Coturnix japonica: one gene and its partner. The protein of the gene in region 1 purifies or fractionates together with the protein of each later gene. This does not show direct contact. Links are inferred from orthologs where the notes say so. Each region holds a gene or a part of one and is shown on either strand. Other genes may lie near its edges.

Region 1 (6,682 bases):
GTTCCTCACATTTGAGTACTACTCGGATTGGCAGCCTTCACTTCTCCGGAGTCTGTGCAAAAACAACACAAAAATAGAGGGGAGGGTCATTTCAGTCGTTATAGGTTAATAGCAGCTGTGAGCAGGTGGTTGCTACACATTGGCCTTCTCTACACATGCAGTGTTCCACAAAGCCATTAACAGTTGTGACTATTTCTGCATTGCAAAGGCTGGCATATCTAAAAAGGTTATTCTTCTTTACTTAAAGGCTTGTTTATCCCCCTAATGCCAGGTCAATAGATGGAGGCTATTTAATCAATATTAACAGCTTTCAGAAGCTGTGACATCCCAGCTTGCCTTCACTGCAATGTTATCCAGTTAATTTTTCTTGTAATATAACAACTATCGAGTAAAAAAAAAAAAAAAAAAAAAGAAATAAAGAAACAAAACAAAAAAATAGAAATAATATATAACTTAAAGGTGACGTTGCCGTCTGTCTCGTTAGAATGGGATACTTTGTTTTGAGCACGCCGTCCTGTATCCCACAAGGCACAGGTACGAGGCATGGTGACCGCTGTTCCTTCATTGGAGAGCTGTAAGAGCATGGCTCTGCACTGATCCTAGACCCAACGCCATCCCCACTAACGGGCACAAATCTGGAAGCTTTCAAGGTGGGACACGCTAAGAGAGAAGCTGGACAGTTGGGAAAGGCTGCATCCTGCAGCTCTTCCCTTCTGCCCTGCTCAGCCACGCAGCAGGTAGATGCTATCTGGGAGCTGAGGCTGGCAACCCTACTTACAGGTAGGAAATAATACTGTAATTACTAGGCAGATGCAGTATTTGATCTCAGAACACAAATGTACAAAATTGTAACAAAGGCATTGTAAACAAGCAAATAAGCACTGCCTCCTTGAAGGATTTCAATGCATTCCACTCTTGGTAGGTTAAAGGCCAAACGTAAGTTGACAACTAGCTTATCTCATTATCCCAATGAGACTAAGTGCTAGGATCACGATTAAAATTGAAAAGGAAGATTAAAAAACCCTTCCAGGCATTGGGAAGTGCAGCCAGAGTTATCGTCCTGATGTGATGATCTTGGAATTTGGAATGATACTGTGTGATGTGGCAGACAGCGACAATGGTAGCTTGGAGATTGCTGCACTGTGCATTTCAAGCAACACAGTTTGAAAAGTGCCAGGGCGATTTCTTCACAGTATTTCACATGCAAGGGGAGAAGGGACAGAAGGGGGGTTTGAGGGGGGTGGAGGAAGAAGCCCCATGCTGCTTTAAGGCAGGGAAGGAGGCAAACAGGTCCACCATCCTTTAACTATAGTTCCAAGGCTCCTATTCTAGGGATGTCTTCTTGTGCTCTCCTTTAAGGTGGTTCACTCTGGATCCAGAAAAGCCCCAAGTCTTACACAGCAGAGACTTGTTCATCTTCTGCAAACACAACAGGACAGGGGAAAATATTTAGTTCATGTAGATGAAGACCGCTACTAAATGAAACAACCTGTACTATGTTCATGTGCTTTCTGTTCCTCTCTGTTAGGTATATTAAAAAACAAATGAAAACAAAACAAAAAACCAACTATCTAAATATCTTTACATTTCAGGTCTCATGAGAAGCACTTCTCTGACATTTTATCATCTCAAAGAAAATAGAACAATCACTATTGTTGATCTGGGCGCAGTATTCTCAGGACTGGAATGCAACAGCTGTTCCTAAATATCTAGTAGCTTCATAAAGCAGTTCTTACATTTTTCCTTGAATGTATCTGACACTATTTCCTAGGGAGTTATTTGACTTAAGATTGCATAAAAATGACTGTGGCTTCTGCTGTCACTGGTAAAATACAACTAAAAGTCTCAAACTGCCACAGTAGTTCTTAAAGATTGAGGCAATCCTATTAAAGGGATCTCATCTTTTTGTCATGTTTGATTGCTGAGTTCATGCTGTACACAGAGCTTTAGTAACTAAGCAGTTAGCGAGGGAAGGAGAAAGTTAGCCTTTCTACCATTAGACAAAACAGAGCATCAAAGATTCAGATGCGTGACTTGAGCATTATCCTGCTTAGGCTGCAAGCATCTAGCTCTGAAGATGCAATCCAGCTACACGTACACGCCACCAAATAACAGAAAGACTATGTGTGTATGGTCTTTATATTGCAATACCTGAGCTAAAGCATAAAGATCGGCAAGCAAGATAGCAAATTCATGTGAAGCAGTTGGTATGGAAGACCCAGCATCCACAACAAGAGTTTCAGCTAGAACGCCGAGTGATAATCCATCTAAAACTGACCAATGATGCTCTCTGGGGGTAGGCATTTGTAGACTGAGATAAATATTTTGAGCTAGTGCCAAACACTGGATATTTTCAGGGCACCCAGGGCTTTTTATCTGGAACGTAGGCACCTCAAAAGAAGTTGCCTAAGCCAACTGCTTGGTTGTCAAGGATTCAAGGCAGACATACATTCCAGATTTTAAATGATGTTTTGCATGAACTGAATTCTTCTTTTTCCAAAAAGTAAACAGACAGTAAGGCTTGAAAGATGGAAACTCAAATTATAGCAAGAATTTCTAGTGCAACAATCACTTGCATAATCTACTTTGTGACTGAAAACAACGAACACATTTGCATGCAGCACACTTAAAATTTAACAATAAGAAATTTACCATCTTCATCTGTGGGAAACCCTTGAGACTGATAGTGAGCAAGACGTGGATCTGACTCGTTTGGTTTATGCCACTGAGGTTTGTTCACAGGCCTGCTAGTTGAATGGCCATGTGACTGTTGCTGTTGAGCCGAAGTCCCATGGGTCTCACATGTCCGTGCCACCATTCTAGACCTCTGAAGTGCAACATTGTAATCTGGAGGCTTTCTAGTTGGATGGGAAACACCTTCTGCAAACTCAGCAATAGGTATTCCTACATAACCAGGAGGAGTTGGAGGTGGCTCCCGATACCGACCTTCTTTTCGTGCTGCAAGAAAAAAAGATTGTTATGAAGTAATAAGACGAAAGCTGATGAAATCAAAATGAACAGTGAGAGTTAAATGTTGATCAACTCATGATCCAAGGAGAAAAGCCCTGAAGAAGGATGAAAGTTAAATACTACTTAGTAGATAATGAGATACTGAAAAATAAACTATACGAGAAAACTAAGAATATACAACATACATGTGATACCAATATTGTTCCAGTAGTGAAGTATTAATGAAATTAAATCACTAAATTACATGAGGAACTTGCTCTAACTTAGCAGCTGAAGCTACTCCACCAACTACACAGAATGAATCATTCACTGGTCAAAGAGACCAGTGATATGGGAGATACAAGAGTTCACAAAAGTGGCAGCCATCATGAATATCAGCTTCTCCCCAAATGCCATCCCAGTCTTAATCTTGAAGATGAGTTTTGCCCCTAAAAGTTTACCTCTTCTGTTCTTAGAAACTTGCAGGCAAGGAAAAAATAAATAAATAAATAGATATAAAATAAAATAAATATAAAATAAAACAAAACAAAATAAAATAGAAAAAAAAAAAGGTTCTAAAAACCTTACTAAGGCAAAGCTACAGTTCCAACACATAAGAGTAATGGACCTCATTCTCATGCTTTTTGCATGCGTCACTAACCACTGCTCTTATGATTTTAATTTCTACAGAATTAAGTCTTGAAATCATTCCTGCAAGAACACTAATTGAATAAGATTTTGAGCGGGAGAAGGAAAGACCACATACTTTGTGGATCTCATTGAGGTTTCTCTGTTTACCTGAACAAGAGTTACCTCTGGCCATGACCAGTGTACCCTTGCAGAGAGATTTGAGGGAAGAAACAGTGATGAAGAGTTTTAAACACCTTCAAGAACAGACCAGATGCACAATGGTTTCATGATTCTGTACTGTGGAATTTCATGTTTAAAGAAGTTAATTAAGACTCTGACCCTGAACAGTTTTTTTGTGAGTCTAACCCTTTAATGTGACTACTTACAATACAAAAGCAAACACAGCAGGAAAAAAAAACCTGGCACAGCAAACTTACTCTTCCTGCCTTGTCATGCCCTGTATATTCTTGCACAAGTGACGAGGACAACATCACCCTGCATTATGCACTATGAAATTGACTGCAAGGGCAGTACCAGCTCACAAATGGTTTTACTGGGCTGGTTGGCTTTTGCCTTGCTATTAGCAAGCCAAATTGTCTCCTATGGAATCTAAATACTTTTCTTGGACAAACACGTGTAATTGAGCAAAGCAACATGAAGAAACTTCTGAGAATTTTTATTCAAAGATTTCAGTAATTTTCATTTCAAGTAATTTTGACATAGAATAAATTCTGTTGAAAAATTCTATTGAACTATTGCAAGAGATCCATGATAAACAGAGCTGCATTTTCAAGCACAGTTAATAGTACTGAATGCATGGAAGTTATACAGCTGCAATTTTTGGATCTTTGTCACATTCTCTGAAGTCTATCAGTGTATATAAATGTAGTGGCAAGCTCAGTCATGAGAGGCGAGTCTGGAAGCACACCTGTTGGTGGAAACCAAGTGCATCAAAGAGTAAAATTAGAGAATGGCACAAATCAGGACCTTGAGTCCTGAACTGACCAGCTTCCTCCCCTTCACAGTTCAAGGATTCAATGCTGCACCCAAGTTTTGCAGCAATAGGCAAGCAATATACTAAGGCAGAAAATGGAAAAGCACCTTATCATAATGGTCTCAGCATGGCCTCTGTCTGACAGACTTTTTCAGCTGTGTCAAACCAAAATGGCTTTCAGAGAACCCTTCATAATAACCTGAGGAAAGGCACTCACAGCAAAGGGAAATGAAAGATGCAAAAAATGTAGAAGGGTCTTGGATGGCCCTGTAACACCTGGGATGTGTAGAAGGAAAAATATGAGGATTGTTAAAAACACTGCCAAAGCTACCTTTATGTTATATCCATCCTCACTGGATGATTGTAAATGTAATACAGCCCTAATTTCTTAGGAATCTCTTAAATTTCAGTAATCTAAAGAAATGCCTCAGCTGGTGTCTAAACACAAAGCTGCATTTTTAGAAGTAAGGAACATTTAAAAGTAAGGAATCATCAGACTAGTTATACAAATGTAGAAAGGAAAACACTTCTAAAAAAAAGAAAAAAGATGACTAAATATAGAGTACAAAGGCTTACTGTGAAAAGTAATTCAAATTTCAGAACAGACACCTATATACATCAGCTCCTCAAAACACTGCCCAGCAGTTGAGCTAGTTGGTTTTTTTATGATGTATGGTAGGCTGTCTTGAAACACAAAGGAGCTGCCAGAACTGAGAAGCAGCTGTAAGTGATAATTTCTCTAGCAGTAAAAACACAGTTACAGGGCAAAAACTGAGAGACTACAAAACATTCCATTCTTTAAAATCAAACCAGACAAAAGAAAAATAGGTTTAGAACAATGCTAAGCACTGTAGGTAAGTGAATTAAAGTAAAATGTAACTTACCAATAAGCCCCTTTGTAGTACTTGATGTTACCGGTATGTGAGCGGGCATGGGAGCTGGCTTCGCCTCCTCTGCTGGTATGGATGTTCCGCAGCTAGTTTCAGCTTCAATAGAAACATCCTTCCCACCCCTTCGCTTTATGGTACCTGTGTCACCTTCTGAGTCCTCTCCCCAGTAGCCCGTTGAGGATGCCCAGCTTGCTCTGGACTGTGCTTGATCGAGGCCCTCCCTACCTTGACTTTGCCGGCTATACTTTGTGCCATGATCAGAGAACATCAGCTGGTCCACATGACTGCCTGAGGCCCACAGTCCTGCCCCATCGCCCGAATTATCAAAATGAGCATGTCCAAATGGCAGAGTCTCCCAGCTTCTCTGGTGCTGTATTGTTTGTATGTTGTCATGAGAACCACTTGAACAAGAAGTCCAGCTACCACGGCCACTGTCAGCTGCATCGAGTGAAGCTCTGTCCCCTTGATCCTGTGACAGTTCTTCTGTACTAGGAGAAGACAGAACAGTAGCTCCAGCATACAGGCCTCTGTTCTCTGACAGTGGTGCGTAAGATCTAGATGCACATTGAAGAGGGGAACAAAAAAATCCAGCACTGAAAGCAGAGATCTTTTACAAAGCACACAAAGAACTAGCACGTTAAAAAAAAAACAAAACAAAACAAAACAAACAAAAAAAAACCCCAAAAAAGTGCATGTTGAAAGTTTTGATGCAATTTATGTTGTAGTTGTTTAATGACTAATCTGATTTTGAGCATAGAAAACTTTCCTTTTAAGCTTATCCTTAACAGAATCAGTAAGAACACTGGGTAACTCTCCTGATGAAACACGTTAGTGGAGCCTCCACAAAATATAAAATCTTAACTTTGCAGCAGTCCTTTAAGACAGGCAAATGCCACTGAGATACATAGAATAAAAGGGAGCAGACTGACATATAGGTTCCTACCATTTTTCCATACAAGCAATGCAAATAACTCAAAGTTATAAACTGAGTGACTGAAACTCAGATTCAGACCTCTGCTCATTCATAACTCAGAATGACAACTTACCAGTATTTCTTGCAAAGGAAATTGACTTTGTTACTTTTGGAAAAACATATTACTTCCTATAGCAAGTACGTTCTCTGTAGCCTTCCACTGGCTGATCAAGTCTGACACTACCACTTACATAGCAGCAGTGAAAACTGATCAAGTGTCAGCTTCATTTAGCAACTATCAGGGCT
Region 2 (7,227 bases), on another chromosome or scaffold:
TTTTGAAATTGATATTTATCATCTGTGTCTCAAAAGACTGATTTCTATTCCCCAGTTTAATGTAAATGTAGCTCTAGGGAAAGCAACCATAAACTGCACTGGTTTGCAGATGGCATGTGAGTGACATCCCACCTGCATGCTTTTACTTCGATCTGGAGCAGAGTGAGAATACATCTCCGAGGGGATTATGTAGATCAGGCTGAAGGTCTGTGCTATTTTCAACCTCCTGGTCAACAGAGATGCTGAAAGCTTGGAAGGGAAGTTATCCATTCAAACCTGCAGAAAAACTACTCAGCCCAATTCTTGTAACTGACCACAAAACAGATACAACAGTGTTGGGTAGTTTATACAGAAAACTAACCTAGACTTGGAAAAAAAACCCATAAAATCGTATTTAATCTGAGGTTATTTGAATAATACATCAGTAAGACATGCAGATACTGAGACAAATGCTAGGTCTTACTGACCCAGATAAGTGCAGCACAGTAGTTTGGCAGAATCCCTTGTTCTGAAACATCCGCCACCTGTCCTGGCACAGACACAGCTCCCTGCAATAGAAGTCACTTGGGAAACAGGGAGATTATTCCAACTAATGTTGCTTTTATTATGAATAGATTCTATGCAGAATGGAGAGGTATTTGAATCACTCCGGTCAGACAAGGCTTCAACGAAAATTGGATTTCAAGTGGTAAATATACCTTTGTTTTGTTGTTGCTTTCTTTGCCTTCACTTGGTAGGCTCCATGTTTAAAGACCTCTTTGCAATTAAAAATATCTGAACTAAAGGTACGCCTTTTTGTGACCTTATTAACAGTAAATCTCTAAAATAAATGAGATGTGCAATGACAACAAGTGCACTGCAGGGACAAACACATACGCTTAACTCTTCATTTTGTAACTAGGAGCGCTGGCACTTTCATGGATCCAGACCTTGAACAGACTTCCTTTGCTGCCAAGCATCTCCACGCCACCCTTCAGATCTGCTGGGCTTTACCCAGCAAGGTCTCCTGCCTCCTCCAGTCCAACTTACAGGCTCAAATGGCTTGGCACCTTCACCCGTTTAAAATCACTCAGAACCAAACAACACCCATTTGATCCTCAGTCAAGATCTCTATTTGGCTTGAGGGATCTGCTCTGTCCTGCCCTAGCATCTACAGGCAATTATGTTATCCCTTAGGAAAGCAGGTCTTCCACAGGACCTCTTAAGAGCAAACTTTCAATGACCTGACACTGCCCCTCTCTTAAAGCATTCATCCCCATAGCCTCACACAAGCCTTACAAATGATTTTCATGCAGAGAGGACCCTTCAGCTTTAACAATTAAATCTTGTTGGGAGCATACAAGCTGCTCCAAGCAGGCAAACCTTGTCACATATACGACTCATCCCTTCCTGATATTTTACTGTCTGATTAGTAATAATCATTTCTGACAAATCCTTTCTACAGCTCAGAACCAGTCGTAGCAGTGCAGGGATGCTCCATGCAGAGCCCATCTGAATGCAGATGTCTGGCTTATGTGTGGCTGCCTGACAGCAGCTGAGCACTTTCTTCACTGGACACCAGAGGGAGAAGGAGGAAAAGACAACTGATAGGGACAGTATGGAAGAGCTGCTCCAGGAGCCCTGAATTTGCTTACAGACTGCAGAGCCAAATGTATTTCTGCAATGGGATCAAGAAGACCGGCACGTCATCTACCTGGGAAGGCGACAGCAAACACTAAATATGTGCTCAGTATTTCAATTCAGCAAAAAAACAAAGGCAAAAGAAGAAAGAGACTCAGCAAGATTACCAGAGAACTATTTACTATCCTATTAAAACTCTGCTTTTATTTCCTCATCAAATCTTTTCATTATGCCTTCAAGCCATAAGAAGGATTATTAAATGTCATCCACAATTCAAATAATTAATGTATGGTGGTACCAGATACGTATGTGCTCTCATGGAGAATTAATAACAGCTGCTATCTTTCTTCCAACCATATTTTTTCCAAAATACATATATTAATCATGAGTCTGCCGTGCATTTTTTTTAAGCCTATCCAGTATTGAAGGTCTCCAGGGAACTCACACTTGGAAAATTGGAGAACTCATAATATATTCTGTTCTCTACTTTTTAATTTACTAACTAAATGTTACAGTAAAGTAAGCACTCGGAAAAGAAGAAGGATAAGAAAGGCTTTGCTTGCTCCAGAACTGCTAATAATTGCAGAACCCACGTCCTCCATTCTTTGAAATAGCCCTTCAAAAACAATAAACCAGAGCTGCCAATTCAGAAGGCAGCGTGTCCCCATTCAACAGACCAGCTTTGGTTGCTAATTTTCTACAATTAAAACACTCTGGGAAGGTTTCAGCACTTTCACAGTCAGTGCAGATCCCAGAGCTGCATTTGGCCTCTGCTCCTTGCTCTGCTCCCCTCTGTCCCTGCAGTGTGCCTGTAAGGTGCTGAGCACCACGTGTGCATTATCCATGCAAAACACTGCGCTTCAGCAACACAACCAAAACTGAGTTCAGCTCCTGATTGCCAGGAGATAATTATCAGCAGATAAACAGGTCAAGAATTAGCACTTCAATTGCTCACAACCTGGGGAAGTTTAAATGCTCTGCCTTCAACCCAGGTTACAATCTGCATCCCAGGTGTAGCCCTTCCACACTGAAAAGTCCATGGCTATCTGGCTTTGGACGCTGCAAACCACAAAATATATCACAATTCTCTTCCATCCCACAAAACAACACAAGAAATACCCACATTATTTAAACAAATCAAGTTTTATGAGCAGATCAGGGGACGTCATGTAAGGCAACGGTGTAACCATACAACCCGCTTGCCCCCTACCAGAAGCTGTGTGTAGTGCAAGAGCACACAGGAGCTGCAAGCACATTCACCCCAGCAAAGCACCAAACAACAAATAACTTTAACCATCCATTTGACGCAGCAACTGCCAACATGCAGCAGTTCTCACACCTCCAGACACAAACCTTTTCAACACTGAAGATTAAGGGAGCAGATCTTTCATGACATGCATGTTTTTGGATAATTTGAGGAAGAAATATTTTCAAGTAGTTTTAAAGACTTACCTCCTCGCTGCACCAGCAACGTGACTTCGCTTCCCTTCGGACATTCAATCAGCATATCTACCACCTGGTTGTGAGTGAGGCTCTGCACATTCTTCTTGTTGACTTCGACTATAAGGTCACCCTCCTTCAGGCCCCGGCATCGCGGGCTGTCCACAATTTGTTTCACCCTTTGGCCACCCCCACCGGGACTGTCTGCTATAGTAAAGCCAAAGCCCATGGGCCCTTTCACTATATGCACAGTTATCAGTTCAGGTTGTGTTGCTATTGAAGATGCCAAAGAGACCGTGTCATTGGGGTACCCATGGGGTCCGTTGGAGGAGACCTCAGCTGGGCTGCTGGGTCTCGCTTCCTTTGTGCCATTGACTTTCCCTGTTTTACTACTGTGGCTGGCTGGGGAGTCATAATTTTCCTGCCCGTTCACAATGATCGGCTCTTTGTCCAAAATTGCCACGGACGTCACCAAGCTTGTGTTGGGGTCATCGGGATCGAAGGGCAGGGGGTAGCCTCGGCACAGTTCGAGGTCCACGCTGGCACCAATGGGGATGGACTGGAAGATTTTCACAACTTGGGCGTGAGTGTGCCCCAGCACACAGGTGTCATTCACGCTGACTATGACATCCCCTGCAGAGGACACAAGAGAGATATATCAGGTGCATACAGCCACACCACACTTGTACACCTCAGGAACACAGAATTGGAGCCCCAGAAGCCCACAGGTGCCACTTGTGGGCAGAGAGCAGCACTAAAGTATTTTGCAAAGAAAAGCTGTGAGAATATTTGGACAAGCAAGAACTACTAGCACACAGAAGATTCAGCACATAAAGCCTTCATGTGCATAAACACTTTCTGAAAGTGCAAATGGAATTTGGTTCGTGCAAAAAGGTAATAAATTCAAGCAACAATATATCGCCTATTTTGCAGTTATTGCCAAGCCCAGCTCTCACTGTCACACCCTGCTCTACAATGACATCTGACAGGAACAAAACTGAGAGCTGTAACAGAAGGCTCAAACAGCAACTGCTTAAATACGGTGCCATGTACCGCGTCTCAGACGTACTTCAGCCTGAAATCTCATTCAGTTCTTTAACACTGTGGCTGTAAGACAGGGATGTTCAGCGTGTGATGTTCAGGTGAACCCTACTGGGATTTCCTCCTGTTGCATCCCACCTCCCTGCTTGCTGATCGGAAAGCTGAACATCTTTCCCCAAAAACACGATGAGGACTAAAGGTTGTTTTGAATTGCATATAAAAACAGCCACAAAACCATAAACCAAAGTGAAGGGGGTGATTTTGAGTGATGGCACCAGTACCTGTCTCCATTTTGCCGTCCAGCGCCGCAGGGCCGTCAAGCACCAAACTTTTGATCTGCAGAAACTCATCCGGCTCATCTCCTCCGACGACGGTGAAGCCGAACCCCCTGCTGCTTTTCCTTAACTTCGTGTGGATGAACTTCCCTTTCAACTCAGAAGGGTTTCTTGTAAAAAAAGGTTTCCCTGTGTAGGAAGTTTGGAAAATCTATAAAAAGGCAGGCAAGAGCATTTGGTCTTCTTTTCCTCCATCCCTCTGCATTCTAACAAGTGCATAAACAGCAGGGAGCAGGGACAGGACCAGACTGCTGCCCTGTCACCTCACTGCCCTCCACTTGTCTCCCTGGCACCAATCACGCAGGGAAAGGAGTGAACAAAACCCTCTGACTTCCAGCTGTTGTCTTTGCTGTGGTTGGATGCACCACAGTACTGAGGCTACACAAGGGGAAAGGGCTTTTTTTGGAAGGGAATGCATTAAAGCTAGCAGTGCTGGTTTGATAATACGTCTTATCACTGTCTTGAGGTGGTTTTATCCTCTCCACTAAGGATGAGATTGAGTCGGCAGTGAGAATTTCTGTAGAAATTAGCATCATAGTTTTATTATACTTGGCTTTCTCCAGCAGCTCCAGAGCGATGTTCAGACACCATGTAACCCTTCAGCTAATCCCCTGCCCATCCCATCATCACTACCCCCCTATCACCTCCTCTGGTGAGGAGCAGGGGGGATGCTGACATTGCTCTTCAGACACGGTTTCAAGCCTGACTCCTTCCTTCCTGCTCCTCACCTGCAGTGGATGAAGCAGTGCTGTAGTGAAGGTGGATCAAAGAGCATCCTGAATCCTAGGGGGGGGGGGGGGCTGTGCTGGAGGACTGCTAATACTCTCTGGGAGCATGGATAAGGGAGCACAAGGTGCTCCAAAAGCAAAAGCTCATCCTTGCACAGCACATTGCACAGGATGGGAAAGGAGTCACGGTTGTGTACTTCACAGTGCCAACACTACGCACCTCTGAACTTCTAATTATTTTTAACGTTTAGAGGGGAAAAGCCTGTGCCACTAAGCCCTCTGGTGACAGCTCCAGGATCAGCAGCCTGTGTCATAGCCAGCAGTGCTGGCATGATTTCAGAAACCTCGGCAGCATTGCCGTGGGGCTCTGCTCAGAAAGCAAATCTTAAGGGAAACTGGAGGCTTGTAAGCCTTTGAATGGGGGAAAAAAATAAAACGTATATTTGAAGATTATTCATGAGGGGGCAGTGCAAGGAGTCCGTCTTCTGCCTTTGAAGGGTAGCACAGGAATGTGGCAATCCTGCACATGGCAGGCAGATACTGTGCTCAGACCCCAGGGTGCAGAAAAACACAGGCAGCTTGTAGCAGGGTTTGGCCCTGTGCTCATTTTTGGTTAAAAAAATAAGCAGAACAAGCAAAGCTTGCCAGCATCTGCCTACTAACACGGCTTGAACTTGCCCTTAGTAACAAGAGACAGTAGCATCACAGGCTATGTCACACCTATGGTGTTCGCAGGGGAGAATGTTCTAAAGGAGTGTATCTGGAAGATCCCAGCAGTGCCACCAGAGGGAAATGGAAACACCCAGGTGCAGGGCAAGGAGACAGGGAAGCAGGGAACAGTGCTACAAACAGGGAGCAAGAGAAGGAGGAACAGCACTAAGAAAGGAAGAGGAAGGAGTGAGAGAGAGAAGGAGTATCAGTGTGGACCAGAACATCATTGAGGCAGGCTAACAAAAATGTTGGTGCAAGATTTTGGTGGATGGCAGTCGGCAGCAGGTGGAGAGCTGAGTGAGGTCCCCTGCACAATGGGTCCTGCATTGCCAGGTATGGAGTTTGGGCAGCCCTTGTACCATCTCAACAGTATATAAAAACAGCACTCAAATGAACTGACCAGTGCTGGATGCCTGGTGGACAGGGCATCATCTCCAGACACGTTTTTCCTTGGTGCCAATCTGGACTACCCTAATATACTCTAATATCCCATGGGAATGTGCTGGAGGGTTTGCATGATTTTGTTTTTGGGAGGGAAGGCTGCCCTGTGTGAACAAAAAGAAATCTATTTTCTATTTTCTATGGATCGTACTGTAAGAGCCATGCCATAAACTCAGCTATGAAGACATAAAAGCCTAATCCTTGCCTAACAATACAGCTCTGTAGCAAAAGATCCCCTATTTGTACCTGCATCCAGCAGGTACAGTGGTTAAATCCCACTGATGTAAATCACATTTTTGTGCCTTTTTGAAGACTTGGGATACTACATGAAGAATAGTCATGGTTCGTTTTTTCATTCAGGTAATCACGTTTGCTCCTCACATTTGGCAACAAATGTGGTTTTGAGGTAATTAGTATCAAAGTCTAGGGGACTGGTGTGTGATACTCCCTTTATTGGTTATGGTGGGAACTTCCTTTGCAGGAAAAAAACTTGTTGGGCTTTTACAACTGGTTTAACAAGGTTGTTACCTTGCACTGGTGCTTCCCGAACTGTCTCTTGGTTGTTTGAAACAAGGTTTGGAGCAGCGGGTGGTGGGAGAGATGGACACTCCTCTGTCCATTCTGGAGAGGGCAGAGAGGGAAATGTTACTCGTTTCACAACAGCACTATGAGTTCCTCCACGTACACACATTGGGAGTGTGGGTTTGAGCAAAGGAGACATGTAAAGCATAGCAAGAACAGAAAGAGACACAGAGAGAAGGAACAAAATGAATGGGATGTTCAAAAAACAGCTCTGGAGGATCCTCTATGTTTAAGTCAATCAATCTGTGTGTGCTCGGACAGTATTCCTCACACTCACACTCGGGACTTGCAACAAAGTGGTCTCAATATTTACATTAAAGCTATTCTAC

The links. The genes of interacting proteins can lie anywhere in the genome.
Region 2: the proteins of RAPGEF2 (region 1) and MAGI1 purify together in Homo sapiens (co-immunoprecipitation; 3 studies listed by BioGRID and IntAct, with this or other methods). This does not show direct contact. The link is inferred for Coturnix japonica from reciprocal best matches to the Homo sapiens genes RAPGEF2 and MAGI1.

The regions. Positions count from the first base shown.
Region 1 is NC_029519.1:19,619,075-19,625,756, reverse strand, and holds part of RAPGEF2 (rap guanine nucleotide exchange factor 2), read right to left. Parts: intron 6,018-6,682; coding exon 5,458-6,017; intron 2,959-5,457; coding exon 2,653-2,958; intron 1,420-2,652; coding exon 1,394-1,419; 3' UTR 1-1,393. UniProt on the Homo sapiens protein: Functions as a guanine nucleotide exchange factor (GEF), which activates Rap and Ras family of small GTPases by exchanging bound GDP for free GTP in a cAMP-dependent manner.
Region 2 is NC_029527.1:11,503,569-11,510,795, forward strand, and holds part of MAGI1 (membrane-associated guanylate kinase, WW and PDZ domain-containing protein 1), read right to left. Parts: intron 6,938-7,227; coding exon 6,845-6,937; intron 4,566-6,844; coding exon 4,383-4,565; intron 3,694-4,382; coding exon 3,073-3,693; intron 1-3,072. UniProt on the Homo sapiens protein: Plays a role in coupling actin fibers to cell junctions in endothelial cells, via its interaction with AMOTL2 and CDH5. May regulate acid-induced ASIC3 currents by modulating its expression at the cell surface.